4 linked regions of the Stegostoma tigrinum genome follow. The protein of the gene in region 2 binds, or shares a complex with, the protein of the main gene of each other region. Links are inferred from orthologs where the notes say so. Each region holds a gene or a part of one and is shown on either strand. Other genes may lie near its edges.

What was found.
Region 1: the proteins of ap3d1 (region 2) and AP-3 complex subunit mu-1 are in contact, whole or in part, in a cryo-EM structure (PDB 9C5C), measured with the Homo sapiens proteins. The link is inferred for Stegostoma tigrinum from reciprocal best matches to the Homo sapiens genes AP3D1 and AP3M1. Residues at the interface, in NP_003929.4 of Homo sapiens: Lys29, Glu388, Gly389, Thr390, Thr391, Arg393, Glu429, Arg432; in NP_001307192.1 of Homo sapiens: Ser25, Ser27, Asp30, Tyr31, Glu34, Pro52, Asp104.
Region 3: the proteins of ap3d1 (region 2) and ap3b1a are in contact, whole or in part, in a cryo-EM structure (PDB 9C5C), measured with the Homo sapiens proteins. The link is inferred for Stegostoma tigrinum from reciprocal best matches to the Homo sapiens genes AP3D1 and AP3B1. Residues at the interface, in NP_003929.4 of Homo sapiens: Lys352, Leu442, Ile446, Ser471, Tyr483, Trp487, Glu491, His517, Ala520, Val521, Gln524, Asn525, Lys528, Val561, Gln562, Ser563, Ala564, Leu566, Glu567, Gln569, Glu570, Arg571, Ser573, Cys574, Gln577, Leu578, His581, Ile582, Leu585, Lys588; in NP_003655.3 of Homo sapiens: Asn75, Lys466, Lys467, Gln470, Val494, Ala497, Ser498, Trp501, Leu531, Leu534, Gln535, Asn538, Lys542, Asn567, Tyr568, Asp569, Asp572, Arg573, Arg575, Phe576, Ile577, Gln579, Leu580, Lys586, Gly588, Ala589, Leu590, Ser591, Tyr593, Lys596.
Region 4: the proteins of ap3d1 (region 2) and AP-3 complex subunit sigma-1 are in contact, whole or in part, in a cryo-EM structure (PDB 9C5C), measured with the Homo sapiens proteins. The link is inferred for Stegostoma tigrinum from reciprocal best matches to the Homo sapiens genes AP3D1 and AP3S1. Residues at the interface, in NP_003929.4 of Homo sapiens: Leu18, Gln19, Val22, Arg26, Cys60, Thr63, Tyr64, Gln66, Met67, Leu68, Gly69, Tyr70, Asp71, Ile72, Ser73, Lys87, Phe88, Thr89, Arg92, Ile93, Leu96, Gln100, His103, Tyr126, Leu132, Thr133, Ser136, Tyr161, Lys164, Lys165; in NP_001275.1 of Homo sapiens: Met1, Lys13, Pro14, Arg15, Leu16, Ser17, Lys18, Phe19, Pro22, Tyr23, Glu25, Asp26, Gln28, Gln29, Arg42, Asp43, Glu44, Asn45, Val46, Cys47, Asn48, Phe49, Ser80, Glu81, Ser82, Glu83, Leu84, Gly85, Leu87, Asp88.

What each region holds. Positions count from the first base shown.
Region 1 is NC_081390.1:13,541,390-13,548,761, reverse strand, and holds the start of AP-3 complex subunit mu-1, read right to left. Parts: upstream 3,015-7,372; 5' UTR 2,759-3,014; intron 2,442-2,758; exon of another isoform or gene 2,423-2,441; intron 2,310-2,422; 5' UTR 2,160-2,309; coding exon 1,887-2,159; intron 1,181-1,886; coding exon 1,009-1,180; intron 1-1,008. Other genes in the region: adenosine kinase-like, read left to right, coding at 3,500-3,558. UniProt on the Homo sapiens protein: Part of the AP-3 complex, an adaptor-related complex which is not clathrin-associated. The complex is associated with the Golgi region as well as more peripheral structures.
Region 2 is NC_081383.1:19,184,086-19,191,472, forward strand, and holds the start of ap3d1 (AP-3 complex subunit delta-1), read right to left. Parts: upstream 3,008-7,387; 5' UTR 2,770-3,007; coding exon 2,674-2,769; intron 1-2,673. UniProt on the Homo sapiens protein: Part of the AP-3 complex, an adaptor-related complex which is not clathrin-associated. The complex is associated with the Golgi region as well as more peripheral structures.
Region 3 is NC_081356.1:107,905,624-107,912,580, forward strand, and holds the start of ap3b1a (AP-3 complex subunit beta-1), read right to left. Parts: upstream 3,015-6,957; 5' UTR 2,865-3,014; coding exon 2,728-2,864; intron 1-2,727. UniProt on the Homo sapiens protein: Subunit of non-clathrin- and clathrin-associated adaptor protein complex 3 (AP-3) that plays a role in protein sorting in the late-Golgi/trans-Golgi network (TGN) and/or endosomes.
Region 4 is NC_081356.1:77,147,923-77,154,944, forward strand, and holds the start of AP-3 complex subunit sigma-1, read right to left. Parts: upstream 3,017-7,022; 5' UTR 2,932-3,016; coding exon 2,791-2,931; intron 2,659-2,790; exon of another isoform or gene 2,207-2,658; coding exon of another isoform or gene 2,162-2,206; intron 1-2,161. UniProt on the Homo sapiens protein: Part of the AP-3 complex, an adaptor-related complex which is not clathrin-associated. The complex is associated with the Golgi region as well as more peripheral structures.

The sequences.
Region 1 (7,372 bases), on a different chromosome or scaffold from region 2:
GACCTCCATATTTCTGCAAATATACCCTGGCTGACCTGCTTCTGCATCCTCTTTAAAATTGTACTTTTTCTTTTACTGACCCATCCATGGTCTTTTGACAAATATGAATGACTTCTCACTTTACTACATTCAACTTCTTCAGCCATTTCTCCACCCATTTCATGTAACTTACGTCCATTTGAGGATTTGCATGACCCCCTCTCAGTTCATTAAAAGATTAATTTTTGTGTCTTTGTCACATTCTGAAATTGTGCACGGTATAGATATTCATATTCATCAAGAAGAACAGGAATCTTATCACCAATCCCTAGGGCACTCGTCACATGAGGAAGGGTCACTCGACCTGAAACGTTCTCTAAAGATGCCGCCAGGCCTGCTAAGCTTATCCAGCAATGTCTGTTTGGTTTCCATTAAACATTGCTGTTTCCTGTTATTCAGCTAATTTCGAAAATATATTGCCACTGTAGCAATTATTTCATGAGCTCTTAACTTTGCTCATGTTTGTGGCACAGCAATTTGACAAATGCTTTTGCACGTCCATGTTCAGTATATCAACAGTGTTACCTCAACTGAAGTTAATTAAGCACAATGTGTATCTTCAATCTGATGATGGTCCATGCATGTAGACCCATTGCTCAAATTTACAATCTTACAGTACAGGAGGAGATGGGTCAGGCAATGCCTCTTTGAAAGAGCGACGTGAATTAGTCCCATCCATCAGCTTTTTTCCAACAGCCTTATAACTTGGTCCTCACCAAATATGTCTTTTAAATGTACCTACAGAATCTGTTTCCATGACTGAGGTAAAATATTCCAAATCTCAACAACCCTGTATGGAAAAACAGAAGTGTCTTCACACCCCTTCAGTTGTTTTATAAATTATCTTACTTCTGTAACCTTAGCTTAAAGACCCTCATGCCAGAGAAGAGAGTTTATTCCTAGTATCAAAAAAAATCCTCATAATTCTGAACACCACTCTTTTGCTGAGGTAGAGGAGCCACTTCTTACCTGTAATAGTATTAACAACAGAGCGAAGAATTGTAGGAGGTTTAATTAGTTCTTTTAAGATATTGGATTCAGTAGCCAATGGAAAACCATTATCCAACATTTCTTCCAGAAGTTCATACACGATAACAACGTTATCCTTAATTGAAGCCTCAGAGCATTCTCCAAAATAGTCCTGAAGAACAATGTGATAATGCAATTCCTTAATTAAACTATTTGTGTCAGACTGAAGATTTTTAAAAATATACACTTAACGGCACATTTTACAGCTTTGGGACAACTCATTTTATAGCTAGTACTTCTAAAAAAATGCAAGCACTTTTGGGTCAAAAATCCAAGAATGCTACACATCGTAAATCATGTCTTAAGTGATAATGATATTGATCAAGAGTCAGGATGCCCCTTTCCTTGTGACAGTATCAAAGGATCTTATGTCCGCCTGAGAAGGTAGACAAGACCTCGATTTCCTTTCTCATCTGAGGCACCCTCTCTCCCACAATACGTACAGTACTCCCTGAATACACTTGGTATCTCAAGGAATCAAGGGGTTTGGGGAGTACGTAAAAACTGTTGAATTAACCCCAAGAGGTTACACCGAATGGTAGAACAGTTTCGAATGGCCACAGGATCTCTGTTGTTTTCTTGAATTGTACACTCAAGTCTCTGGAAGGGGACTTGAACCCAACCATCATCTAACTCCCACCCAGGCTCTAGCTAGGACACATTCAGTGTTAGGCGCAACATCGGTAAATTCCCCAAACGAGATTCTCCTGCAAAGAGATTCACTTCACATCGAAATAAACTGACAGAAGACGCCGAAGGTAGTTCCATTTACAGTGACGGACTTTTTGATTTCCCCCTTACGTGTGGCGTGTACAAACCTGCAAAGTTTCTGCCACTCGATGGAGAAACTCAATGACAAAGAGAGGTGGCACTTCGGACTGAATGACAGCAACGAAGAAGATCTTGTCTCTGTACGTGCTGACCAAGTAGTGATGGGGTGTGGGGATCACCGGAGGCACATTTTCCGCCTCCGCGGCTTTCTCCAGGGCCTCGAAGAAATAATCACAGACTGACCGGCTCACCACACTCTTCCAATGTTTCTCCAGAAAGATATCGCCAGTGTTGTTGATGAGAAACAGGCTATGGATCATTTTTTTCTTGTTTCGTCCCAGCGGTTTATTTGTGTCCTTTTAAACCGTGAAGCGGTGTTGCCCGGCCACACGAACAGCCTCACAGGCATCAAATCAATCCGTCAAAGAGCAGCCCCAGGAATATGGCGGCGGCGCCGCCGGAAGCAGCTCCTGGAAACAGAAAACGAGATTTTAAAGAAAATATAAAACATTCATGAATCACCGCACGAGTTCTGCACGAAAAAGGGGATTGAGAGGGGAAGTGGGTATATTTTGGTGCTAACCCAATTGGAAACAGGTTTGTTTTACTAATTCCATTGCATGTAAATGAAAGGGACAATCATGGGTCGCTTTCTCCCAAAATGTCACGTCCTGTGACTTAAAAACAACGCCTTTCATGTCTCTTGCTGGGTCTCCATGTACTTTTGGGTTTTCAAAATTATTACAGGCCAATTGATTGATTGTTGCGTCGTTTCCCTATTATGGTCCAAATCGACTTTGTGACTTCTTTTACCTATAGATTTCTTTTTTGTTTGCATCATTAATAAAATTGATAGCCATGTTGTTAACAGACCGATCATTTTATTTTTTACCCGCCCTCTCGCGTCTGCATCCAATACCTGAAAACTACCACCGAATAATTCTGAAAATTTGGCAAACCCAGGCTTCACGCGCTTCTATTCAGCTGGTCACTGCTTGCGACTTAGTGGGCGGGTCTGGACTGCGTAAAATGTTAAGCGACAAATATTTCACGTTATGAACTTGAATGGTCTGCTTTCCTAAAGTGCTCGGGCCCCGCTCCCACTGCTGACTGCTTGTACCGCCCTCTTGGGCTGCTGATGTGCTCTGAGATAATGGGAACTGCAGATGCTGGAGAATCCAAGATAATAAAGTGTGAAGCTGAATGAACACAGCAGGCCCAGCAGCATCCTAAAATGCTGCTGGGCCTGCTGTGTTCATCCAGCTTCACACTTTATTATCTTGCCAATGTGATCTGCCTACTCCGCATGCGCATTGCCACGCTAGCCCCGCCCTTGTCGTTTCTCCTTTGTACTGGACCCCTCCTGTCCACGTCCCGCCGCTCCACCCATTCACACTCCTCCCCACGCGCCGCCTCTCCGGCACCATCCCTCTCCTCATTTGCATACCGTCAGTCCTGCCCCGCCCCTCAACCGCAGGGCCCAACCCCGACGCGGCTACAGTTCTCCCCCGCCCCCTTCCTCTAACCGCGCATCTTCACTCTGTCTCTGACTTCCTCGCTTAAGTTCCACTGTGCGCAGGTCGTTCCCTTCCTCGCGGTACGCGCGTCTCCCCTCTCCGGTTCCTCCCTTGCAGCGCGCGGCGGCGTGAATTGGGAAGTAATGGCAACGGACGGACCTCAACCGGCGAAAAAGATCAAGCTGCAGCACAATTCCCTCAGGTAAAAAGGAACACCCAGTCATGAAAACAGAGTGCCTGATCTTTTGGTTTATATTTAAACGGTGATTGTTGATGGTTTGAAACCACACTGCCCCCAGCGCACGTTCAAAGATTTTCTTCATTCATTGTCAGGAAAAGTCGATCATGCCTTTCGTATAATAAGCAAGAAATATTTCAAATGAGTGTCTGCCACGCCGTGCATTTGCAGCAATTTTAAGACAGCAGGTTTGGCTTCAAAGTTGTGCTCTACTCCCACGGGCATATTCGACTTATAGACTCTTATTTTTGAAATATACGATTGGCTTTTGTGGTGGTTTAATTTGTTGCTGAGATTTTTTTGTTAGTTTTTCTTACTTGCTGTTGTGCCTTTTGTTGAAAATCTAACCACGCTGGTCAGACTCCTTAATGTTGGACTTTTAATTTGTCTTCCCTCTCTGTACTCAAGGTCACAAAACAGCCCAAACGACCTTTCACGTTGCAAAGGAAAAGCTTCAAGTAATGCCAAAGCCACTGCCTGTTTGAAAAGTCATTAAAAATTCCCCAAAATGTGGTTTCATTGGACCTTTCATGTTGTATCAAAATTGCAGCTCATGAAACTCGGAGACTAGTAATCAAAAACACAACCCAGCGCTCTTCCCACCCACACCCCCCCCCCCCCCCCCCAAAGTAATTGCGTCCTGGCTGGTACTAACTACCCCTGCACAAAATAGACTTGGACAGCAATCAAGTGCCTGCAGCTCTTCACTCTGTCTCTGACTGACTCGCCCACCCCCCGCTTAAGTTCCACTTTGCGCAGGTCGTTCCCTTCCTCGCGGTACGCGCGTCTCCCCTCTCCGGTTCCTCCCTTGCAGCGCGATTATCGCTGGTTCGATCTCAATGTCCGTGTACAGGTCCACAACAGTCAATTTTCATCCAGATTTGCTACATGCATCAGTAGGGTGTTCCTTCGATTTCGTGAAGATCACGAACGAATTTATTAAGCACGCTGCAGTTTGCCTACTTGTGATCTTTTTATTCCATTTGGTTTTTTGATTTCATTGTTAGTTTCCATTTAGAAAATATGCTTGTCTATTTCAGCTTCGCAGCCTTTAGTATCATAGAATACGAAGGAAAATTAGATTTTTATTTATGCTAATTAACATTTATCATTGTGCATTTCAAAAATTCATGGGTGGGACGAGTCTAGGGAATTAAGCAGCTCACAAGTTGGGTGTCATCATGAGCAGAGGTAACAAGTTGCCATAATGAAGCGATCTATAATCAATGGAAATTCTTAACCGTGACAACGTTTGTGTTGGTCCTTCGCTTTTTTTTTGTTCAATTTGCTCAGTTAACTAAAATTGACAAGTTTTTTTTAAATATCTGATTGGAAACCAATCCAAGATTTTAATCCAGGATTTTTCTGCATATTTTGTTTTTCTGTTTCCTTATTCTCTCCCCTACCTTTATTATTTCAGGGGAGTGCTGTCAAGGCCATCAATTAATTACCTGTGAGCTGAGACTTGCTTGGCTTGAAAAAGAGGCTACGAATCAGCTACTCTGCTGTGGGTCTGGAGTCAAATATAGGCCAGATCTGTTAAGGGCATTCAATTTCTACCCTACCTTTTACCATGTTGGCAAAACATTATTCTGGGTTAATTGTCCAGGGCAATAACAATATGCCACTCACATAGTAAGAACTGCTGCTCCTGGAGTCGGAGATAATAGTGTGGAGCTGGAGGAAGACAGCAGGCCAGGCAGCATCAGAGGAAGAGGAATGTTAACATTTTGGCTTGGGACCTGAAGAAGGGACCCGACCCAAAATGTCAGCTTTCCTGCTCCTCTGATGCTGCTTGGTCTGCTGTGCTTCTCCAGCTCCATACTGTGTTAACACTCTGCCACTCTGCCTTTTCATGCTAGCTCTTCTTGTGCCGAAGATATTGTGTAGATGTAGCAGCTAAGTTATGCAATCCTGTCATTTGACAATTTACTGAGTGTTCTGTTCCACTTGTTTACTCAAGATATAACTCTTAGATTAAAGCTGTGGAGGTTGACTTGTGAAACTCTACCTTTTCAGTCTAGTAGCAAGAGAGTTGGTAATATAGCTACAAGGTTTGAAATGATACAAAAAAAGTAAATATAGAGCGTAACTTCATGGCAGCTAAGAAAATGCAGTGAGGCGGGCAGTTTTAAATGGAAGGAAAATTTGGCATTTGTTTATGCAAAGAGTCTTGTCTTGCTGATGACATTGAAAGGCTTAAGACAGATATTTTGGTAATGTTTTCCTAAATGATTGAGTTACGCTGGGTCACGTTTGTATTTGTGCTGTGATTCCTGCTCGTTTAGCGGCCACAAAGGCTTAAAAGCCTCTGCTGAATGCTATAATTGTAGAAGGAAAATATAGAAAATGCTGTTTTGAAGAAGGGTCCTTCATGGACTCAAAACATTAACTCTGTGTCTGTGTCCACAGATGTCAAGCCAAAGCTCCAAATTGTACACAATGCAGCAATCCTTGATTTTTAAAATAGACCTTTTCCTATTTTGATCCCCAGTCAAAATACAGAAAATTAAACATTAGTTTATTTAAAATTAAACAATTTAGCATTTCTGAAGAAGAGCCTAGGCCTGAAACATCAGGCTGCCTGGCCTGCTGTCTTCATCCAGCTTTCAACCTTGTTATCCCAGATTCTCCAGCATCTGCAGTTTCTACTATCTCTGAGAAAATTAAGCAGACAGGTTCTTTACACTATAATGGAATTTAAACCCAAATCCAAATTTTTGTCTATGCCTATCGATTTCTGATATTCCCATTATGATATATATTGTAATGAGCTTGTTCTGTGGGAGTACAGTTGATCTGGTTTCAACTGCATACAGTCAGTGTGTGCTATAATCATTTTTTGCAGCATATTTACTGTTACATAATTATACTTCATAACTTGTTTAATGTCTCTGCCGTTTGCTATTCTGCGTTATTTCTCCTGTGTCAGTTTTAAGGGACCCATATTTACTTTGATTCTCTTATTGACGTAAATATGTAAGCTTTCTCATTGAACCTCATAATCTTTGGATTATTTCCTGAGCAATTTGACATAAGGAAAATCAAATTAGAGAGGAGAATACTTGGCTCAAAGTCTGGTGTGGGAATGGTGTGTTCTGGTTCATGCAGCTCTGGTACCAGAATGAGTGCATGTCGGATCTGTATTGATCAGATGATCTGTGCCTGAACAATGCTGGAGCTGGTATTCTTGCCAGCTGCATAACGAGGGAAGTAAAATGTTGTGATAGTCTTACCGGATTATAGGCTAACTCTCTCATGTGAGCGAAATGACTGATGATGGTTTAACCTAAGTGTCACCACACAGCAGGTGAGAGGAGAGGTTGAGAAGGAGAGTTTGTCATGGTACTTTGGCTGGGGATGGCAAGGGATCAAATTTGGGATGGTGATAAATTAAAGCATAGAGCAGAGGTCAAAGAAGAAGGTAGTACATGGGAAACAGACAGTTGAAGAGATGGCAATTATAAGGGTAACAAATAATTAAGATCAGACTTTACAACATTACTAAGGTACAACTAAAGACTCCATCTGAATTCGCTATTATCGCATTTGAAAGAAAACTGATGAATTCAAAGTGCAGCTACATATGAACAAGGATGATCTGGTAGTCTTTTGCCCAGTGACTGACTTAACCTGAGATATTTTGCAGCCCTGTGACTTGCAAGGTCTTGGATTAATCGTCAGGCATCTTACTACTTCACGGTTTATTTTTGTTTATCTTTGAATTTACATCACCTGTAATGTTTCTTTCCAAATCCCAGGTAGCAACATCTGAACA
Region 2 (7,387 bases):
GACAGTTGAAGATTGCTGCAACTAGCATGCAGCACAGAGGTCACAAAGCCAGCTATTGGAAAGGATTATACAACTTAGATTTAAAATGCTTATGGTGATTTGACTCACCCATTTGCCATTAGCACTTTTGCATCAACAGAACTGAAGCAAAACTGCAGCCCTACAATGTCAAGAAACAAGATTTGTGCACTAGCTTCAGCCACGTAAATTGAATTTAAACAATTTCCAATATCACCAATGTCAGATGATGCAATTACACACTCCCTACTTAAGAACTGAATAATGTTGGCTAGCAGTATGCAGAATGAAAAGAAGCGTGCAACCACACAACTTCACCAGAGCAGTTTGGCACAATTGGAGTCTGTGTTTTGCTATATTACTAAAATGAATTCCATGGATATTAACTTTTGCTATTATTTGTAATTTCCTCTGGTGCATAGAGACCACGCATGGGCGGAACTTCAGAAACCTAAATAAAGTTTAAATACATGTCCCAATGCTTGCAGCATATGTTAATCGAATGAAGCAAACATGCTAAATATTATAATTTAAAAGTTTAACTTGAAGTAAAGGAATCAGGACACAGAATCAAAAAGTGCAGTTGGAAACACCGACTATAGATGATTTCACAGTTTTTGGGATTGTGCAGTCACTGAAAGGAATACAACCGCTCAAAATATAAACCAATTTTAATCATGTTATAGCTGAAGTTTACATGTCAAATTACTTTTGACAATATTAATTTGGCTATCCTCATTCTCCTAACAAAATTAAGGTACCTTGACCTACACGATTGGTGTTTTACTGTTCCCAAATGATTCTTCTGCTTAAGAACTAACAAATCAGTAGTTCCAAAAAAAAGCCCAAAACTGCATTCCGTCTCTCTTCCACTCCCCAACAAATCATATCAGTTTGGCACGCATAAAGCTTTTTTCACAACCTGATTACATTCACAAAACTCCAACTCCCACATTAAAACTTTCATACTGCCGCAAAGAAATGTAACCTGATGACTGTACCCTTAACAAAAATTAACAAAAAAACTTTTCTTCAAATCTACAAAGTTTGCATTGTTGCACCTTTCACAACTACTCCAAGAATGATACAGTGAATTAAGTATTTTAAGTGTTGGAAATGCACAAAACCAATTTGCACAAATCAAGCTCTCACAGCCAATATGTCAGTGACCAGATGTTTCTGAGATGTTGATCAAGGGGTAATCATTCACTTGAGCACCAGAATTTACACCCTGACATTCAGTGAATTGGTGCTAAAATGTTTATGTTCATTCAAGTAGTCAGATGGCCTTTCATGCGCATGATGCCATATCTAACAATGTCCTTCAGAACAGTATTGCAGTGCCACCCTCGATTTTTAAGCGCTCCAATGCTGGACTGGGGTTGGTCCAGCAAGCCTGTCTCACCCCAACACAATGCTTGTCATTGAACATATCCTACCCCCTCTCCCTCAAGTTGCACAGTCACCTACAAAAGACGAAGTGAAACTTATGAGGAATTGGCTCTTTAAATCTGTGATCTAACTAGTATTTCTTAATGAATAGCAAGTGTTTAAAATTTTCAACATAATTATGAATGGATGTGAACTAATCAACATCTGATAAAATCTGTATATATGTGTCAAGTGGCACAAAACTTCAAACATTCGTTTTCATTCACTATTTTAAAACAAAATAGCTGATCCTAGTACACAGGACAAATTCTGTCATCGTAGGGGGAGCACAATATTGGTTGCACTCAACCTAGTTAATTTAACTTGAGTAAAGCTATTCCTGTTAGAAGAGCGAGCTTTCCACTATGTTTAAAACATCTGTTTTGAAAAGCATTGTCATCTCCAGTCTCAAAAGGTTAACTTAGTTGTTAGCTAAAGAAACACAAAAAGGTACAGTACCAAAATTATCAAACAAGGATTATACCACAGGTTTACCACGACATCACCAAAGGTTTTACAACTCTACGTTGGAGTGAATGACCACTTTTATACACTAAACAACCGTGTCAAAACAAAATGAAATGCCGTATTGAGAAATTCAAGACAACAACAACGCATCAGGACTTCAATATGTGCACATTTTCCGTTTATGTAGGTAAAGTATTGACAAACGTAAAACATATTCGCGCACAATTAGGTAAGCAATAAGGTGTGAGTCAAGTCAGAAGCTTGGCCACATACGTCCCTTGGTGATCAGGTTACCAAACGTCAGCATCAGCAAAACTATCAGCTTTTGGACCAAAACACAGTTGGACCCTCAACTGTCAATTTCATAAAAAAAATAAGTATTACTGTTGGAGGGGAGATAGAAACGGGGACGGCTGGCAAGGGAAACAATTATTTTGGGCGTTTGCTTTAACACAGATTTACATTTTCGCAAGGAAATTAAACGCCAGGCAAAAACAGGTTAGAAGAAAAAAAGGAGCCGATTCTTGGGAGCTCCTGTCAACAGCAGCTGCTCGTCCCACAGCCCAGTTTCCAGACTGAAATGAACTATCCCGAGCGCCGGGCCGAAGTGAAGAATGGAAAGATCGGTTTGTCCCGTTGTTATCAATGCTAGGCCTCGGATACATTCGTTTGTAGTTACTTTCCCCGTGTTTCTTAATCCTCCTCATTCTCGTGTGACAGCGATGTGACGGTGGCTGCAAAACAGCTCCAACTCACCTCGTCTTCCTTGTGGTTCCGGATGCCACGTACCAGGTCCTGCAAATTCTTGTCAAACATTCGGTCAATGCTGCCTTTCACGATTTTCAGAGCCATGTTCCTTCGGGTCGGCTTTCTCCGGGATCTTCTTGAGAGCTACACAAACCCTTCTCCCTTTCACCGACCACCGATGTTGGAAAACATGCCAGATTTCCTCTCCCGAATCTACACAACCGTAGAAAGGGAATGTAGAATAAACCAGCGGAGCCACAACAATGAATTATACTGCCTCTGCACTGTCCCCCACTTACAGGTTACAGATAGCAACAGAAAATGGCCGCGGCTAAGCTAGAGTCAGGTGACCAACTGCGGGACTGGAAAGGGGAGGAGAAAAGAAGGAGCGCGGCGGAGTGTGGGGGTGGAGCCTAGAGATCAGGGGGCAGGTCCGGCAGGGGGCGGGGACTGTTGTTTGAGATGGCGGGGCCTGGGATGGGACATAGGCGGGGTCCCGCTGTGGAGGGGGCGGGGCCTGTGGCGTTGACAGGGCGAACTCTTCGCGTCCTAAGAGGGGGAGAGGCTTTTGGCAGGAGAAGGCGGGACAGATGGTGGGTGTGGTCTGTCCAGCCGTGGGCGGAGATTTAATCGGGAGAGGGCGCGGCCTAGGGACGGGCGCCCATGACGGGGCGCAGTGGGAAACAGGGCGGGCCCTTGCAGTGGGCGAGGCCAGTGTGGGGCGTAGAATGCGGTGGGGCTGGGCGCAGAAGTTGGGACCTTGAGTGGGCGGTAGCGGGCGTCCGTGGGAGGGTACCACAACTAGAGTAGGCGGGGCCCGCACCGGAGGGGGCGGGGCGGGGCGTTGATAGGGGTACAGTCTTGTGCCGCAGGACCGTGGGCCAGCATTGATAGGGCTGTGCGATGTTGGCTCATCTTCACAATTATTGATATTTCCACTCAGAATCTTCGTTTCCTAAGATTGCTTTCTTGCATAAGACCGTTTATAGTCTCTCCGTTGTTTTATGGTTTCCTTTGTAAGCATGATTTTGTGGTGTTCAGTTGGGCCGTGCGTATGAAACTGAGTCAGTTGGGTATGAAGATACGAATTGGGAGCAGATATAGGCCACTCGCTCCTGAATCCTCCTCTGTGATTCAATTAGATCACAAGATCTGATTGCTCCACATTTCCGCCTGACCCAATGATCTTTTACCCATTTGGTCATCAAGTGTCTCATCTGCATCAACTCTAAAACGTTCAAAGACTCTGATTTTCAGATTTCTAATTTTCAGTCCAGTTTACATAGAAGCATGGAAAATAGGACCAGAATGCTGTTCAGCCTTTGGAGCTTGCTCTGCCATTCAATTCGATCATGGCTGGCCCTGTTTTCTCTCCATTTGCTTTGATCCTTTTGGTCCTAGGACCTATATACATATTTAAAACTTACTTGAAAATGTTCAATGTTTTGGTTTCAGCAGTTTCCTTTGGCAGAGAATTCCACAAGCTCATTACCCTCTGGGTGAAGAAATTTCTTCACATCTCAATCCTAAGAGGCAAACCCTTTATTCTTAAACTGAGACTGCACACACTGTCCTGGTGTTGTCTTACAAATCTATTGTACAGTCACAGCAAATCACTCCTGTTCCTGTTTTTGAACCCCCTCGCTATTTTGTGGTAGCAATGATAATGAAAAAGTGCCACTGTTATTCCTCTTGAAATCAATAATCTCTTGCCATTGTGTACATGTGGAGACAGATGTAGAAGTTGCTGCCACTGATTCTAATTGTTTCACTAGGGCATACTGTCGAACTTCCTCAAACTGTGATCAACTTCGAATCACTAAACAGACAAAGAACTTTGTCTTTTATGTTGTAATACTGCTGTTAACCACCACCAGCGTTGACCCAAAGTCAGCAATTTGTCTTTTATGTTGTAATACTGCCGTTAACCACCACCAGCGATGACCCAAAGTCAGCAACTTGTCAATGAAGTATGACTTTTTTTAAATGTTGTACTACTGCTGAATAGTCTCTTTGGCTGTTGAAAACTAATTTCATATTTGTCTAAATTTTTTTTTCCATTCCACTTTAAGTTCTCTTTTTCCAATGTGATTTAAGCTTCAAATGTGTGTGACTTAAACATCTATTTCACTCTAAGGCGAAGAACGGCCAGTGCATTTTATTTCCTGGTTTGCAGCCTGAAGACTATTTTATTGTGATTGGTTGGTTAACGTCAAGTTGCTCAACAAGAAGTCAAATTGAAACTAAAGTCAGTAATAGCAAAACCCATCATACAGAAATTGCTCAATCTAGGAGGGTGTGTTCCTTCAAGCTTAGTGATAAGTGCCAATACTTGACACTGACCACAAAATGAACCAATAGCTCTTTGAAGATAACAAAATGTGAAGCTGGATGAACACAGCAGGCCAAGCAGCATCTCAGGAGCACAAAAGCTGACGTTTCGGGTCCCTCTGATGAAGGGTCTAGGCCCAAAACGTCAGCTTTTGTGCTCCTGAGATGCTGCTTGGCCTGCTGTGTTCATCCAACTTCACACTTTGTTATCTTGGATTCTCCAGCATCTGCAGTTTCCATTTTCTCTGAGCTGTTTGAAGATCTGACTCACCACAGTAAATTTAGTGCTGCACATTGGGAAGGAATTTCTCCAGTGCCTATGTGCATCGATTCATTTGTTGCAATTGTAGGAAATATGTCCATTCAAATACATGCTGATTGTAAATGCAGACGGAAACCACTCATCAAATGTGTGGGCTGGATTTAATGGAGAAGATGGGGTTCTTGGTCACTGGTTGGACAGCTGACAAAAGCCCTATATCACAGGCACTTGATAGAGCAGTGGAGGGCCTTCTGCCAAAATCATGGAAGTTCCACCCACTAAGAATCACAAGCCAGTCAGAGGCTAGCAGCCCTTCTACAGCAAGTAGTGCCATTGGAGAGGGGATGGCTGCTGCCAGTACACCACCAGATAAGATCCAGCATTGCTGATGGACCGGGGCACAGGAGAAGGGTAGTAGGAGGCTATTCATGGGATGTGGACTTCTGGTAAAAGGGCTTTGGGGGGATCAACAGGAGGAGTGAGAAAGTTGCTGTTACCAGGCCAACTCCCTACTCGATGTGGAATCCTTAATCAGGCTATAAATACCGTTGAAAAAGGGAACCCTTCACACTCTTGAAGGTTGCAAATAATCCCTCCAGAGTTCCATGTATGCTGTGCCTCCTGCAGTAGTGGGATATAACCCTAAAGTGGGCATTGTTATGAAGGCATTTAATATTTCTCAGTGGGAAAAAAAGTTACATGGATTAGTTATTTGAAAAAAAGGTTTCTGGAAGGCCATTAGGCATTGAAAGCTTTTTGACAAGGCTTCTTTGGAATCACGAATCTTGTGAAAACCATTTCTATTGGTATAGACAAGTGTGCGGTAAATTCCACCAATGCACGAAAGTTGAGTCAATGCCATGATCCAATTAAGTGGGGGGGGGGGGGGTGTTATTGCTGGTTAAAATTCGGGTTGATGGCCCAATTTGCATCCTTAATATTTAGGCCCTATCTTACTAAACTCACCTAAAAAGCTGGATGTCAGGAAACCTCAACATCAAAACCAAATTGGGTACCTGGCATATTCTGCTCACCATTTACTCCAGGCAACTTCCACATTGCCCATGACTGAATCACAGTCCAAGGTATGCTCCAGGGTATGTCTGAGACGTCTCTGACATCAAGCACTCTCAACATTTAAGTAGAAAAGGGTCAAGTCAAACACATCACAAAGCCAGTGAGTTCACACAGAATGATTTGCTATATAACATTTGCAATCTGAACTGCAAATGGAGATTGCTTTACCATTTTGTATGAGACACACGTTAACCTAAATGGAAAAAAATGAGACTCCTTACTAAGCATATATCCATTGAAGTAACGGAGAAACCATCATCATCACTGAACATCATTGCCACATGCTAGATTGTGACTTTACATTATGTGTCTTGCAATATTGTGCAGGAATTGTACAGAAATAGAAAAGTGACATGAATTCTTTGGCTTCGGGTGGCAGATAATAATTACTCTGTTACATTTTACAACTAAAACTATGAACAATAAAGCAGCTTCCTGAAATGGTTAAGCGGCAGCATAAAAACAATCCAATAATTTTCACATGATTAGAGAATTTGTAATATATTCTGTTTAATTCAATTCATAGATAAACACAGACTTTCCTTCATCCACATTGATAGAGTTTGAAAGGTTTATAAAATCTGCTTCGGACTTATGTCTCGTGCCTATGAGGTCCAAAGCTAGGATAAGGACTTTAGAAGATTCCCTTTCATAATTACACAAACCTTTGAAAATGAAAGTAATGGTTTGTTGACCTCAATCTAGATACTCTGCTTGAACCTAATTGCATGTCTTAACTAACCCATTATTTACATGTTTGATTGCAGGACCAAGAAATCATGGGTGGAATTTACTGCATTCCTATGGTGAGTTGTGGATGAGAATTCCCACAGCCTTCTTCCTTCCACCCCATTTAATTTAATGAGGGAAAGGCCTATGGATGATCTTCGCGTCTTGTTGCAACTGATGTTCTTAAAGGGGCAATTCCCACTGTTATGACCTAGACTGGAGGAGTGCAGTATCCCTCTAATCCCATTCCTTATGGTGTCACAACATAACATTTACTAATTGTACCCAAGTCCAGTTAATACTCAGTTGTGTACTTACTCTGTA
Region 3 (6,957 bases), on a different chromosome or scaffold from region 2:
AAATGTCTTTGGAGAAAATGGTGTTGACTGCATTCTTGAATCACTGCAGTCCATATACTGTAGGTTGACCCACAATGCCCTTAAGGCAGGGAATTCCATGATTTTGACCCGGTGAGAGTAAAGGGATGGCAATATATTTCCAAGTCAGGATGGTGGCTGGCTTAGAGGTGAACTTGCAAGTGACAGTGTTCCCATGTATCTGCTGCCCTTGGCCTTCCAGATGGAAATGGTCATGAGTTTGGAAAGTGTTTTCAAGAATCCTTGTAATATCCACAAGCTGCAGTTCAAAAATTCACCAAACTGGTCCTACTGAGCATTGGAGGAGGGGTTGTGGTGTAAGTCAAGTGGGCCACTTTGTTCCTGGACGGAGTCAAGCTTCTTGAGCATTGTTGGAGCTGCTCAAGTGGGCAGTATTCCGTCACATTCCTGACATGTCAAGTAGGTGGTGGGCAGACTTCAGGCAGTCAGATGGAGAGTTACTCGCTGCAGTACTCCTAGCTTATGAACTGCTGTTGCAGTCACTGCGCTTCTGTGCAAAGCCCAGTCTTTGTCAATGCCAACCCCCAGGATGTTCGAAGTGGGACATTCAGTGATGGAAACACCGTTAAATGTCAAGGGGGCAATAGATTGTCTTCAACTGAAGATGGTCACTACCTGGCATTTCTCTGACACAAGTTTTGATCACTACCCTGAACAACTCCAGCAGAGGTGCCCTACAGCTGAGATGACTGGCTTCCAACAATAACAACCACTTTCCTATGACTCCAACTAGCACGGAGTTTGCCCCCCATTCCCATTGATTACAGTTTCCCTAAGGCAACTTGGTCCCATTTGGAGTCAAATGTGGCCATTATGTCAAGGACTTTCACTCTCCCCTCTGGAATTCAGCACTTCTGTCCATATTAAACCAAAACTGTAATAGGGTCAGGAGCTGAGAGCCCTAACAGAGCCAAACTGGGTGTCAATGACCAGGTTATCGCTGAGCAAGTGCTGTTTGACAGCACTGCTGAAGACATTTCAACACTAACACTACAATGGCTTTAACAGGTGTATTTAGTGCTTCGTTTTGAAGAAAGGTTGAGACAGAAGTATGAGCAATCTGCTTCAAAGCCCATAAACCCCAAAGTGGCTTTGGACTTTTTTTCCTAAATTTGGAAAAGCAGTAGCCTGAATGAGTCATGTCAAGCTCCCACAGAACTAAGATTTTTAGTTTTAGTTTTTCAGTGGCAGTTGCTGGGGTCTTGAAGCTGGATGTGGAAGCTGTTTTTTCTCTCTCTGTTACAGCTAAAAGCTGGGGATTCTCTTCCTGCTGCTAGAATTGCATGTGAGACACTATTTTATTGAATTTGCCTTTGCCAAGGGTGTATTTAAGAGTTAACTAGGTGTAGAGCTGGATGAACACAGCAGGCCGGCTGATGTTTCGGGCCTAAACCCTTCTGCAGAAATTGTGCTCTGATGCTGCTTAGCTTGCTTTGTTCATCCAGCTCTACGCCTTGTTATCTCAGATTCTCCAGCATCCGCAGTTCCTGCTATCTCTGTGTTTAAGAGTTAATGTTTAGCAGTTAGTCTGTTATTGTTAAGTATTCCAGCAGTTAGGTTATTTGAATTTTTATTGTGTTTTAACTAAATGTGCAAATAGTGGTATTTTTTGCTTCAAGACTGGTAGTTGACAAATCAAATTGTATCTGGAACACCACACCTGACCTAGGCTGTCATAATGATGGGGTGTGCGCACACTTGGTGGTTAGTCTAGTCTGGTCTGGTCTGGTCTAGTCTAAAAGGATAGGAAGTAACTGGAAAAAACACACAAAACAATGAGTGTGGTTCCAGGGATAAGGAACTTCAATTACATGGGTAAACTGGAGAAGTTTGGGCTACTTATTTTGTAGAAGTTTAAACAAGATTCAATGGAGATATCCAACATCTCACAGGCCTCTCGACACGGTAGAATACTGAACTAAAACCCCACTGTTAGAAGGCTCAAGAACAAGATGCTGCTGTTGGAGTGGACAAGGTCAAAAATCATATTACACCAAGTTTAATCCAACAGGCTTATTTGCAGACAGAAGCTTTCAGAGTCTCATCTGAAGCCAGAGCGGAACTCCCAGAAGTTGTCTTCGAATAAAGCTGTTGGACTATCGCCTGGGGCTGCAATTTTTGACAGAGAACAACACTGCACAGATTGAAACTAAATGGCAAAAGAAGCAATGGTGAGTGGATGAAAGAGAGTTTTGGAACACATCAACAACCTGGAACAAATAGTCTTAAGGTATAGTTTAATTGTAACATCTAAAAGTGAAGTAGATTATCATTTGAAAGGGGACACTACACAGTCTTAGTGAGATAGCAATAAATAGTTTTAAGTAAATTGCTCATTCAGAAAATGATGCAAACATGACAGGCCAAATAGCCCTTTTCAAAGCTGTCACAACTAAGTCTCTCATCACGTGACGTTTGTAAAGTGGCCATACTCAATAATTTACAGCACTTCAATCTAAAACGAAAGCTGGGGAAAAAAAGCACCGATGTAATGGACTAAGTACTTGCTCACAGTAAAGTGTTTAGTCGCCTTGGGACATGGATCAGCACGAAAAAACAAGTTTGCCAAAGGCCTTTCACGAAAACTATATTTCACAACAAGGACTAGTAGCACGAAAGAGTTCCTGTATCAGAGAACGGAGCAGAAGGAGTGTGTAAAATCCGGCATTCAGGCGCTCTTTAACCTACTTCTTGTAGTCTACGCTGAAGAGCCGGAACCCAGCTGCTGCCCCTCCTCCTGAAGTCACTGCCGAGGCTTCTTGGCCCAACTCGGTCGATTCACTTCCCAGAGCCTGATCATTGTAGGACGTGCTGTTGGTCGCCATGCTCGCCCCGTGTCCCGGGCACCAGCTGCCAAAGTGGTGTGAACAGTTAGTTTAATCTGGGTAATGTCGAAAAGTCCCCGCCGCCTGCCAGCCGGTCCCAACTCGAGCGACACCGGAAATCTGCCGGGGGAGGAGGTCAGCTGACACCGAGGTCACATGACCCGGCGATACCATGGAAACGCCCCTTGCACATAACCGTCGTGACGCCGCCCTGCTCAACTGGAGGGGAAAGAGTTGCTGTTTTCTTCTTTAAAAACACTCAATGCAAATTCGTGGTAAGGACGTAAGAGACGGAGTAGGTCACATTTATAATCACACGTCCCTTTCCAAAACGACGATGCCAAATTCAGGGAGTCGTCGTACAAGAGGAAATTGGCTCAGAAATATAAGTAAGAAACGTCTCAGGTTTGTTTGTTGGATGGAGTCAAACTCCTAATGTGTGTGTAGTTATCCATATGCTACTGTACAGAAACGACTGTATGTACATAAAGATATGTCTATGAATAAAATATGTTTTTAAAGTTACGGAAAAGTTGGCCCACAAATGAGCCAAATGAAATGAATGAGATGAACAGTGGTAAATGAAAGGTAATTGAAACTCAGTGTCAAAGCCCATGTAATGTAAGAAGGAACATGCTCTCAGAGCATCACCACTCTAATTATTACAAAGGGTTACACTCTAATAATGTTACTACTATGCACCCAGAGAGAAAAAGGGAAAAAAAAACTTGGAAATGTACTGGTCATATTAGAGCACTATTGATACTACAGACAGGTTGGACTAGTATGCATCATTTGTAATTTTTACTGGTATTTCATCAGGATTTTGAAAATATTTAGCAAATCTTTTAGATTTCTTCTGCACTGTCTAAAATGAACACAAAACAGAACAAGCTCTTTGGACCACCTTGAAAAGCATTAACATCCTTCTTGTACACATACTCCAGCTGCTATATAATTTCATTGTAACCTCCCTGCTCCTATTAATGAAATGTAGAATACTGAATATGCTTTATTGACAAAGAACAAAGAAAATTACAGCACAGGAACAGGCCCTTCGGCCCTCCAAGCCTGCACTGATCCAGATCCTCTCTCTAAACTGTTGCCTATTTTCCAAGGATCTGTGTCCCTCTGCTCCCTGCCCATTCATGTATCTGTCTAGATACATCTTAAATGATGCTATCATGCCCACCTCTACCACCTCTGCTGGCAATGCGTTCCAGGCACCCACCACCCTCTGCGTAAAGAACTTTCCACGCATATCTCCCTCAAACTTTTCCCCAGTCACCTTGAAATCGTAGTAATTGAGTCCCCCACTCTGGGGAAAAAGCTTCTCGCTATCCACCCTGTCTATACCTCTCATGATTTTGTGGACCTCAGTCAGGTCCCCTCCTCAACCTCCGTCTTTCTAATGTAAATTACCCTAATCCACTCAACCTGTCTTCATACCTAGAAGAGACAGTTCTCTCTTTGTCTTGCCACTTTAAATGACTTATGTATAAATACCCAGACCTTATTCTCTGACACACCCTTTGGAAAAGTGTAGTTTCTTTTATTCTGTCTCTACACATGTTTGTACCAAAATGTATCTCCTCATACTTCACACTGAACTTTATCGACCCACTCAACAAAAGTGCCAATGTTCCTTTGAAGTTCTGTGTTGTCCTCTTCAAACTTCCAATTCTCCTGAGATTTCTGTCATCCACAAGGTTGAAAATTGCACCTAGCACATAAGATCTCAATCATTTATTCCTATGTTAGGAAAAGCAAGGATTCCAAAAGTGAACCCTGGGGGACTTCACTACAAACCTGGCAGCACAAAAAGTATCCATTATCTATTAAGCTCTGTTTCCTATCTCAGTCAATTTTGTATCCACATTGCTACTGTCCCTTTTATTCCATACGTGATAACTTTCTTAATAAGTCTGGTTTTTGTGTGGCACTGTATTGAATGCCTTTTGGAAATCCATGTGCACCATATAACAGCTTTGTCCTCACAACAACAATACAAAAGGTCGAGCAAATCAGTTAGACAAGATTTTCCCTTAGTACGTCCAGACTGACTCTTCTGAATCAACTGATATTTTTTCATATGTTATTACCTCTATTCTGAAAAATTGTTGGCATAGTTAACACCAAGAAGGAAAGCCTTAGTCTATAGGGCTATATAGACAGACTGGCCTGGTGGGCTGAACAGTGCAAATGCAATTTAATCCTGAAATGTGTGAGGTCATGCATTTTGGGAGAATTAACAAGGCAAGGGAGTACCCCTTGAATGGTAGGACTCTAGGGAGCGCAGTGGTTCAAAGAGACCTTTGTGTGCATGTCCATAGATCCTTGAAGGCATCAGGACAGATAGATAAGGTCATGAAGATAAGGTCATAAGGAATACCTACCTTGAATAGTCAAGACATTGAATACACAAGCAAAGAATTGATGATTGAGCTGTCTATAAAATTGGTTCGGCCAAAGCTGTAGCACTGTATGGAGCTCTTATTGTCACTATAGGAAAATGTGATTGCATTAGAGTCAATGCAGAAGAAATTTACCATGATGTTGCCTGGACTGGAGTTAATCAGCTATGAAGAAAAACTAAATAGAAAAGAAGAAGAATTGGCTGACAAGGAATCTGATTAAAGTATACAAGGTTAAATAGATAGAGAGAAACTTTTTCCCTTAGCAGAGGGGTCAAAAACCATCTACAAGATGCACTGCAACAACTCACCAAGGTTCCTTAGATAGCACCTTACAAACCAGTTCTCTCTAGAACATTAAAGGAAAAGGACATCAGGTACATGAGAACAGCACCACCAGCAAGTTCCCCTCCAAACCACACACCATCCTGACTTGGAACAACATCGCCATTCCTTCACTGTCTCTAGGGCAAAATCCTGGAACTCATGGATTGTAGCAGTTCAAGAAGGCAACTCACTACCATCTTCTCAGCACCAATTAGGCATGTGTAATAAATGCTAGGCTAGCCAATGTTGCCCACATCCCATTAATTCATAAATAAATTTCAAAACACACCAACATGTTTAGGTTTAAAATTAGGCCTTGCAGATGATGAATTCAGAAGGCAACAAGAAGGGAGAGGAAGAGTATTAAAGAAGGAAAAGTAAAGTATACAAATAGAGGCCACCAAATTCAGGAATTTTTATTAGAGTGCGGGTGAGAAGATGAGTCTATTGTGAAACACCTTGAGAACTATTGAATTTGATTTTGTTTGTATTGTCAATCATGAGATGTTGTATTAGCAGTAGATGAGACAATATTGCTCAAAAAGTAAGAATATCAATAAAAAACAGTCCCCCTACACAACATCTGTGTTCTACTTCAACATTTTTTCTTTATCTCTTTATTTGTATCTAAGATTTGTACCTAGGTATTTTGTATCTGAAATGACACCAAGTGGGGCAACATTGTAAACTTTTCACTGTACTCCTGTACTTGAGTACTAATGACAGTAAACCTACAGGGCATTCTGCTATAATGCGCATTCCAGCAACACGAATTGAGAATGATGCAATTGACAAATCAGTGAATGGTATTTCCACAGTGCGAACTTTGTGTTGGCTGTAACATGATTCCGTTGAGTCCACTGGACCTGATGTTATTGAATGTTTTTCTTTGATTCACAATACTCAAGGTGAAACCTAACCATTGATTCATAAGGTTTTAGCACAACTTCCTTTTTGTTAACTATGCATCTATTTATATCCATAGTCTAACACCTGCCTTTCTCACCAAAACCTCAGTTACATACTTCCAAGCTGAATTATTTTCAACAGCTGCGTATCTTTGACTTAACTACAAATCCTAATCCCTCCTTTTGCTCCGACACGAAATAAATGTGGAACATTCAAAGGTTGATGAGGTTTGCGTGCAAGATTTCATGGCTGCCGTCAAAGCTACCCTAAAGAATTTGTATAAAAATAGTCAACATACCAGTTCTTGAAATATCAGTTCCCTCTTCTGGAACCTGTTACTGTATAACAGTGAGGAAAATTTCGGGTTTGCTTGGCTGTGGAGCAGGTAGTTTACCAACATTCACCGTCGAGTTCTGTATGGAGAACAGTCACTTGAGCAAGAT
Region 4 (7,022 bases), on a different chromosome or scaffold from region 2:
AAACCAAGCCACAGATTCTAAAAGATAAGGGGCAAGCATTGAGATGAGGAAGAATTCCTCGGCTCAGGAGAGGGAGGAATCTTTAGTGTTCTCTGCCCTAGTGGGCTTTGGAAACTCTAACTGTATGTAGTCAAGACAGATAATAAAATGTGAGGCTGGATGAACACAGCTGGCCAAGCAGCATCTCAGGAGCACAAAAGCTGACGTTTCGGGCCTAGACCCTTCATCAGAGAGGGGGATGGGGGGAGGGAACTGGAATAAATAGGGAGAGAGGGGGAGGCGGACCGAAGATGGAGAGTAAAGAAGATAGGTGGAGAAGGTGTGGGTGGGGAGGTAGGGAGGGGATAGGTCAGTCCAGGGAAGACGGACAGGTCAAGGAGGTGGGATGAGGTTAGTAGGTAGCTGGGGGTGCGGCTTGGGGTGGGAGGAAGGGATGGGTGAGAGGAAGAACCGGTTAGGGAGGCAGAGACAGGTTGGACTGGTTTTGGGATGCAGTGGGTGGGGGGGAAGAGCTGGGCTGGTTGTGTGGTGCAGTGGGGGGAGGGGATGAACTGGGCTGGTTTAGGGATGCAGTGGGGCATCTGCCAATCTGCCAATGTGGTATACTGCATCCACTGTACCCGGTGCGGCTTTCTCTACATTGGGGAAACCAAGCGGAGGCTTGGGGACCGCTTTGCAGAACACCTCCGCTCAGTTCGCAACAAACAACTGCACCTCCCAGTCGCAAACCATTTCCACTCCCCCTCCCATTCTCTTGATGACATGTCCATCATGGGCCTCCTGCACTGCCACAATGATGCCACCCGAAGGTTGCAGGAACAGCAACTCATATTCCGCCTGGGAACCCTGCAGCCATATGGTATCAATGTGGACTTCACCAGTTTCAAAATCTCCCCTTCCCCCACTGCATCCCTAAACCAGCCCAGTTCATCCCCTCCCCCCACTGCACCACACAACCAGCCCAGCTCTTCCCCCCCACCCACTGCATCCCAAAACCAGTCCAACCTGTCTCTGCCTCCCTAACCGGTTCTTCCTCTCACCCATCCCTTCCTCCCACCCCAAGCCGCACCCCCAGCTACCTACTAACCTCATCCCACCTCCTTGACCTGTCCGTCTTCCCTGGACTGACCTATCCCCTCCCTACCTCCCCACCCACACCTTCTCCACCTATCTTCTTTACTCTCCATCTTCGGTCCGCCTCCCCCTCTCTCCCTATTTATTCCAGTTCCCTCCCCCCATCCCCCTCTCTGATGAAGGGTCTAGGCCCGAAACGTCAGCTTTTGTGCTCCTGAGATGCTGCTTGGCCAGCTGTGTTCATCCAGCCTCACATTTTATTATCTTGGAATCTCCAGCATCTGCAGTTCCCATTATCTCTGTAGTCAAGACAGAGATTGATTGAGTTTTCAATACTAATGACATCAACAGATACCTGGATGATGTGTGAAAAAGATGTTGAGATAGATTATCTGCCATGTTAGAACATGGCAAAGTGGATGCAAGGGGCTAAATGGCTGATTCCTACCCCTAATTAAACTCTTGCCAAAGACTGGAGAATAAAACTAAGTTAACACACCACACCCATCAAGAGGTGATGTTCAATTCACAGTGATCTGCTTTCTAAGCCGGTATATGAAAAAAAACCATGACATTTCTTTTGAGCAGCAGCAAGGGAGTGATCTCTAGCATCCTTGCCAATACCAACAGATTCAAACACACAGTTTTTGAATTATTGCATGACTATTTGAGAGACCTTGTTGTATACAAAGTGGCTGCCAGGTGTTCTTCAGCGCAAGAGATCGTATCAGTTCTGACGATGGTCACTGGACTGGAAAGTTAACTCTGATTTTCTTTACAGATACTGTCAGACCTGCAGAGTTTCCTCCAGTACTTTTTGCTTGTTACAGTCCATACCTCATTGGCTGTAACGCACTTTGCCACTATATAAATGCACTCTGTATTTGCAATAGTAATTAGGGTCTGATAAAACTTTATTTTTGTAGGAATACTAGAACGCTGTACAGTTAGACACATAATGCCTATCGCCTTCCAAGTCTCCGATGATCTCACATCTCAACCTTAACTACTGATGTGCCAATATATCACAGCCCTTTCCCTCAGACGCCCCCCTAATTAGAAAGCATTTATCACAGGATGAACTCACAGGGTAGCCGCTACTGGATTTCAACCGCTCCTGCCTTTCCAACATGTAGTTCGAAAACTTTTGCTTTCGATAAACTCAAAAGGTACTTCGTCCCAATGCGTAAATAACAAATGTTGCTTTAGTTTAGTATTTTTCTTCTTCGCTGAACTTTAAATGTTTGTTTTGTCTGACCTCGTGTGTTAAAACAACGCTTCGTGCAGCCGATGGCTGTATGCTGCAATTTCGCAACCACATAGATCGGGGAGGACAACCTGAAGAACAGCGTTTCGAAAGAAACACCACCTATCTCTGCTTTGGAATATTCAGTACAGCTCATTGAAATAAAGCCTGGTGTAATCTGTACACCAACTTTACAGTTGCCGACGGGCAAATCTTCGAATTCAAAATACGGTGCTCGAGTGCCGGTGGGCGAAGTGGAGCGGTTCTACTATGCGGCTGTGACAGCCCAATGTAGAAGCTCACTTTGAGAGCAAGACTCCGTCTCTGTGATGACGCCAGGTTGCTCCGAGCGCAAGCCCTACTTTGGAATGTGGCCTGGAGCGCGTGCCCGGTTTAGATGTACAGACCGCACGCGGAAGTTGACAGTTTAACGGGCGCTTCGATCCCGGCCCTCTCTCCCTCATACTCACATAGCGCTCATAAAACTTGGAGAGCCGCGGCTTGCCATGGTTGTTAAATATCAGGATGGCTTTAATCATGACGACCGGACAGCCCTCTTCCCGGAGCACCGACTGGCAGTTGAGAATTGAAACGAAATTTCTCCGAAACATGAACGTAAAAACCGAGGTGGGCGGAACCGAACCCGAAGTGAAGCGTCCGTCACAGGAAACTTCCTCCCAGCTGCCAGCCCTTTACACCGTGACGGCAACCACCACCGTTCAGGAAAGTCATTGCGCTATTTCGAAACGCCTATCAAACGGCCTTAGAGATAACTTTAGGAACACCCGATTTAGTTTCTGAGTGGGATTTTCTTTTTTAAAAAAACGTCGTAAATTCAAGACGTTTTAAAATGGGCTTAAGTTAACAAAAAATGTATTAAAGCTTTTCACGCGATTTTTTTGGCAGTGGTGGGTGCTAGACTGCTCGTTTATTAGGGTACTTAATGATTTCACAGTCTTCTGTAGGTATTTTCTATCACATTGAGTAAAACGAATACATACTTTTAACGGTCTTTATTGAACGATTTTATTCCTATCTTCCGTCGGAAGATCAGAGATTTTCAAGAGTCAAGATCAGGATTCCATGTTGAATGACTTCCTTTGGCACAATGACAGGTGCATAAAGGTGCGGGTGGGACGGAAGGCGAAGGTTGACATTTGGAATATGTCCAAACGGATTGACTTTTTTCCTCGTAGAGTCATAGTGTTATACAGCACCGAAACAGACCTTGCAGTCCAACTCATACTCGCCAGTTAGATATCCTTCACATGGTATTCTAAAAGTGACCTTACCAATTTCCTGTTTGTCCGTATCATGAATTCCCAACTCCTGTACTCAGTGCTCTGATGAATAAAAGCTAGTGTGTCAACACCTTCCTCACCATCCTGTCGACCTGCAACTCCACTTTCAAGGAAATATGCATTTGGACCCCAAAGCCTCATTGTTCAGCTTCCTCTGGTCCTACCATTAACTGTGTAAGTCCTGTCCTGGTTTTCCTTACCAAAGTGCAACACTTCTCATTTATCTAAATTAAACTCCTGCCACTCCTTGGCCCATCTAATCAAGGTCCCAATTTACACTGAGATAACCTATTTTACTGAAGAAGGGTCCCGACTGAAATGTCAAGCTTTGCTGCTTGGCCTGCTGTGTTCATCCAGCTCTACGCCGTGTTATCTCTAACCTTCTTTACTGTCCACTTTGCCAACAATTTTAGTGTCATCTGCAACTTTACCAACCATACCTTTCATATTTCACATCCAAGTCATTTATATAAATACCAAAAAGCAATGGATACTATTGCACACTGCTGGTCACAGGTCTCCAGTTTTTTAAAAAAACCTTCTACCACCAGTCTCTCCTACCTTCAAGTCAATTTGTATCCAGTTGGCTAGCTCCACCGAATCCCACGTGATCTAACCTTGCTAAGCAGTCTACCATGTGGAACTTTGTCAAATGCCTTGCTAAAGTCCATGTGGACAAGGTGTACTGCTTTGCCTTTGTAAATCTTCTTTTTCGCCTATTCAACAAACTCAATCAAGGTAGTGAGATACAGTTTTTCACAGACAAAGCCATGTTGACTATCCCTAATCAGCCCTTACCTTTCCATATACATATAAATCCTGTCTCTCAGAATCCCGTCTAAGAACTTACCACTGGCACTAGGCTCACCAATCCATAGTTTCCTGGTGTCTCCTTACTACCTTTCTTAAATAAACCACATTAGCCGCCCATCAGTCATCTGGCACCTCACTTGTGACTATTGATGATACAAATATTTCATCAAGCACCCAGCTTCCCTCAAAGTTCTGGGATACAGCTGATCAGGACTTGGGGTTTATCTGTACCTAGCATTTTAAGACCTCCAGCACCTCCTATGAACACTTTTCAAAACATCACTATTTATTTCCCAAGTTCTCTAGCTTCCATGTCCTTCTCAGCAGTAAATACTGATGTGAAATATTCATTTAGTATCCTATCCATCTCCTGTCGTTCCACACGTATATGGCCTTGTTGATCTTTAAGTGTCCCTATTAGCTCCCCAGTCTTTTGCCCTCAATGCATTTGTAAAATCTCTTTCGATTCTCGTTAACACTATTTGCCAAAGCTCTCTCGTCTCCTTTTTGCCTTTGTGAAATCCCTCTTAAGTACACTCTTACTGCCCCATACTATACCCCAACTGTCTACCTAACATGTACCTCCCTCTTCTTGACAGAACCTCAAGTTTTCTAGACATGCAGAATTCCCTATACCTACCAGCCTTGCCTTTTGCACTAATAGAAACACACTGTCTCTGAATTCGTATTAATTTGTTTTTGAAGGTCTCCCATTTTCCAACTGTATCTTTAGATGTGAACCTATCTCCCCTAATCAACTTCCAAAAGATCCTTCCCAATACTGTTACATTTTGCCTTACTCCAATTTAGAACTTCGACTTTTAGATCAGGTTTATCCTTTTCCATAATTATTTTAAAACTAGTAGAATTATGATCACTTGCTCTAAAGTGCTTCCCCACTGGCACCTCAGTCACTTGCCCTACCTTATTTCCTAAGAGAAGGTCAGTTTTGCTCCCCTAGCTGGTACACCCACGTACTGAATAAGAACGTTTTCTTATACACGCTTAACAAATTTCTTTTCAACCAAGCTCTTAACACTATGGCAGTGCTAGTCTATGTTTGGAAAGTTAAAATTCCCTACCATTACAACCTATTCTTCTTGTATATCTGAGATGTCCTGACATATTTGCTTCTCAATTTCAAACTGATTATTGGGGGCCCTATAGTACAATCCCAATAAGTTGATCATCTCTTTCTCAGTTCCACCCATGTAACTTCACTGGACGTTCTTCCAAGAATGCCTTGCCTAAGTACAACCTAATGTTATCCACAACCAAGAACTCCACTCACCCTCCTGCTTTGCCCCCACTTTCTATCTTCCCTATAATTTCTGTAGTCCAGAACATTAAACTGCCAATCTTGCCTCTCCCTGGGCCACGATTTTCAAATAGATATAATTTCCCAGTCCCACATTCCCAATCATGCCCTAAATGTATCTGCCTTACCTGTCAGGCCTCTTGCTTTGAAATAAATGCAGTTTAATTTATGAGCCTTACTTCATTCTCTGCTGTGCTCTTGCCTGCCTTGACTCTTTAACTTTCCTTATCTACTATACTAGCCTCAAACCTATCTCTTTTCTCGCTATTTCTTTGGGTTCCATATTTTATTTGTGCCAATTTGTTCATACAACCCCGTCCTAAAATACTTCACTGACTTCAACATTGTTAGGGAGCAAAAGTACAAAATTAAGATGACAAGTTGTCCTTAGTTATGTGAACACTGACATACAGACAAACATTTTGTAGTTAGTTTCTGCAAGCTGATCAGATTTCCTTTCAGCTAAATGCATCTGTTGAAGTATAATCAGAAACAAAAACAGAAATTGCTGGAAAAGCTCAGAAGAGTAGATCCAATACCTTGGAAATATCACATCCGCTGAGAGCTCTAAAACATGTACATCAAATTTTTTTCAATCATTTAAGAATATTTAGCTTGGATTTGCTGATGCAATCAGATTCAGCAGCCTCCTTCGATAATGTATTCCCCACAACCGTCAATCCTTGAATGATGTAGTAGTTAAGATTTTCTACAACGCTTAGTTAATTTTCAATACAATTCAAGTAGAGACAACTTTGAGTTAAGGATTGGCTGTGTTACCATTTTAGCTACAGCCATATTGTGGTACTAATGCAAAATTATATGCATACTGCTCTGCTGAATATTTATCAATTTTCTAAGACAGGCAGGAAACTTCTCATATTTTTTGCGGGATCTTATCTAACTTATTACTCTAGTTTATCTTGGTTCTTATAGCAAACAAAGCTCATGTTTTAAATCTTCAAATCTTTAATAATGTCCATCCTGGCCTTGAGGCTTACTTCAGTAAATAGCTGTGAGCCCAAGTAAACAAATAGACAGCCCTGATAATAAAATGTGAGGCTGGGTGAACATAGCAGGCCCAGCAGCATCTCAGGAGCACAGATGCTGCTGGGCCTGCTGTGTTCATCCAGCCTCACATTTTATTATCTTGGATTCTCCAGCATCTGCAGTTCCCATTATCACAAATAGACAGCCCTGTTTGATAACTGTGGAGGCTAATCAGCTTGTGCCTCTTTCTGAGACAAAAAACAAACTGCAGATGCTGGAA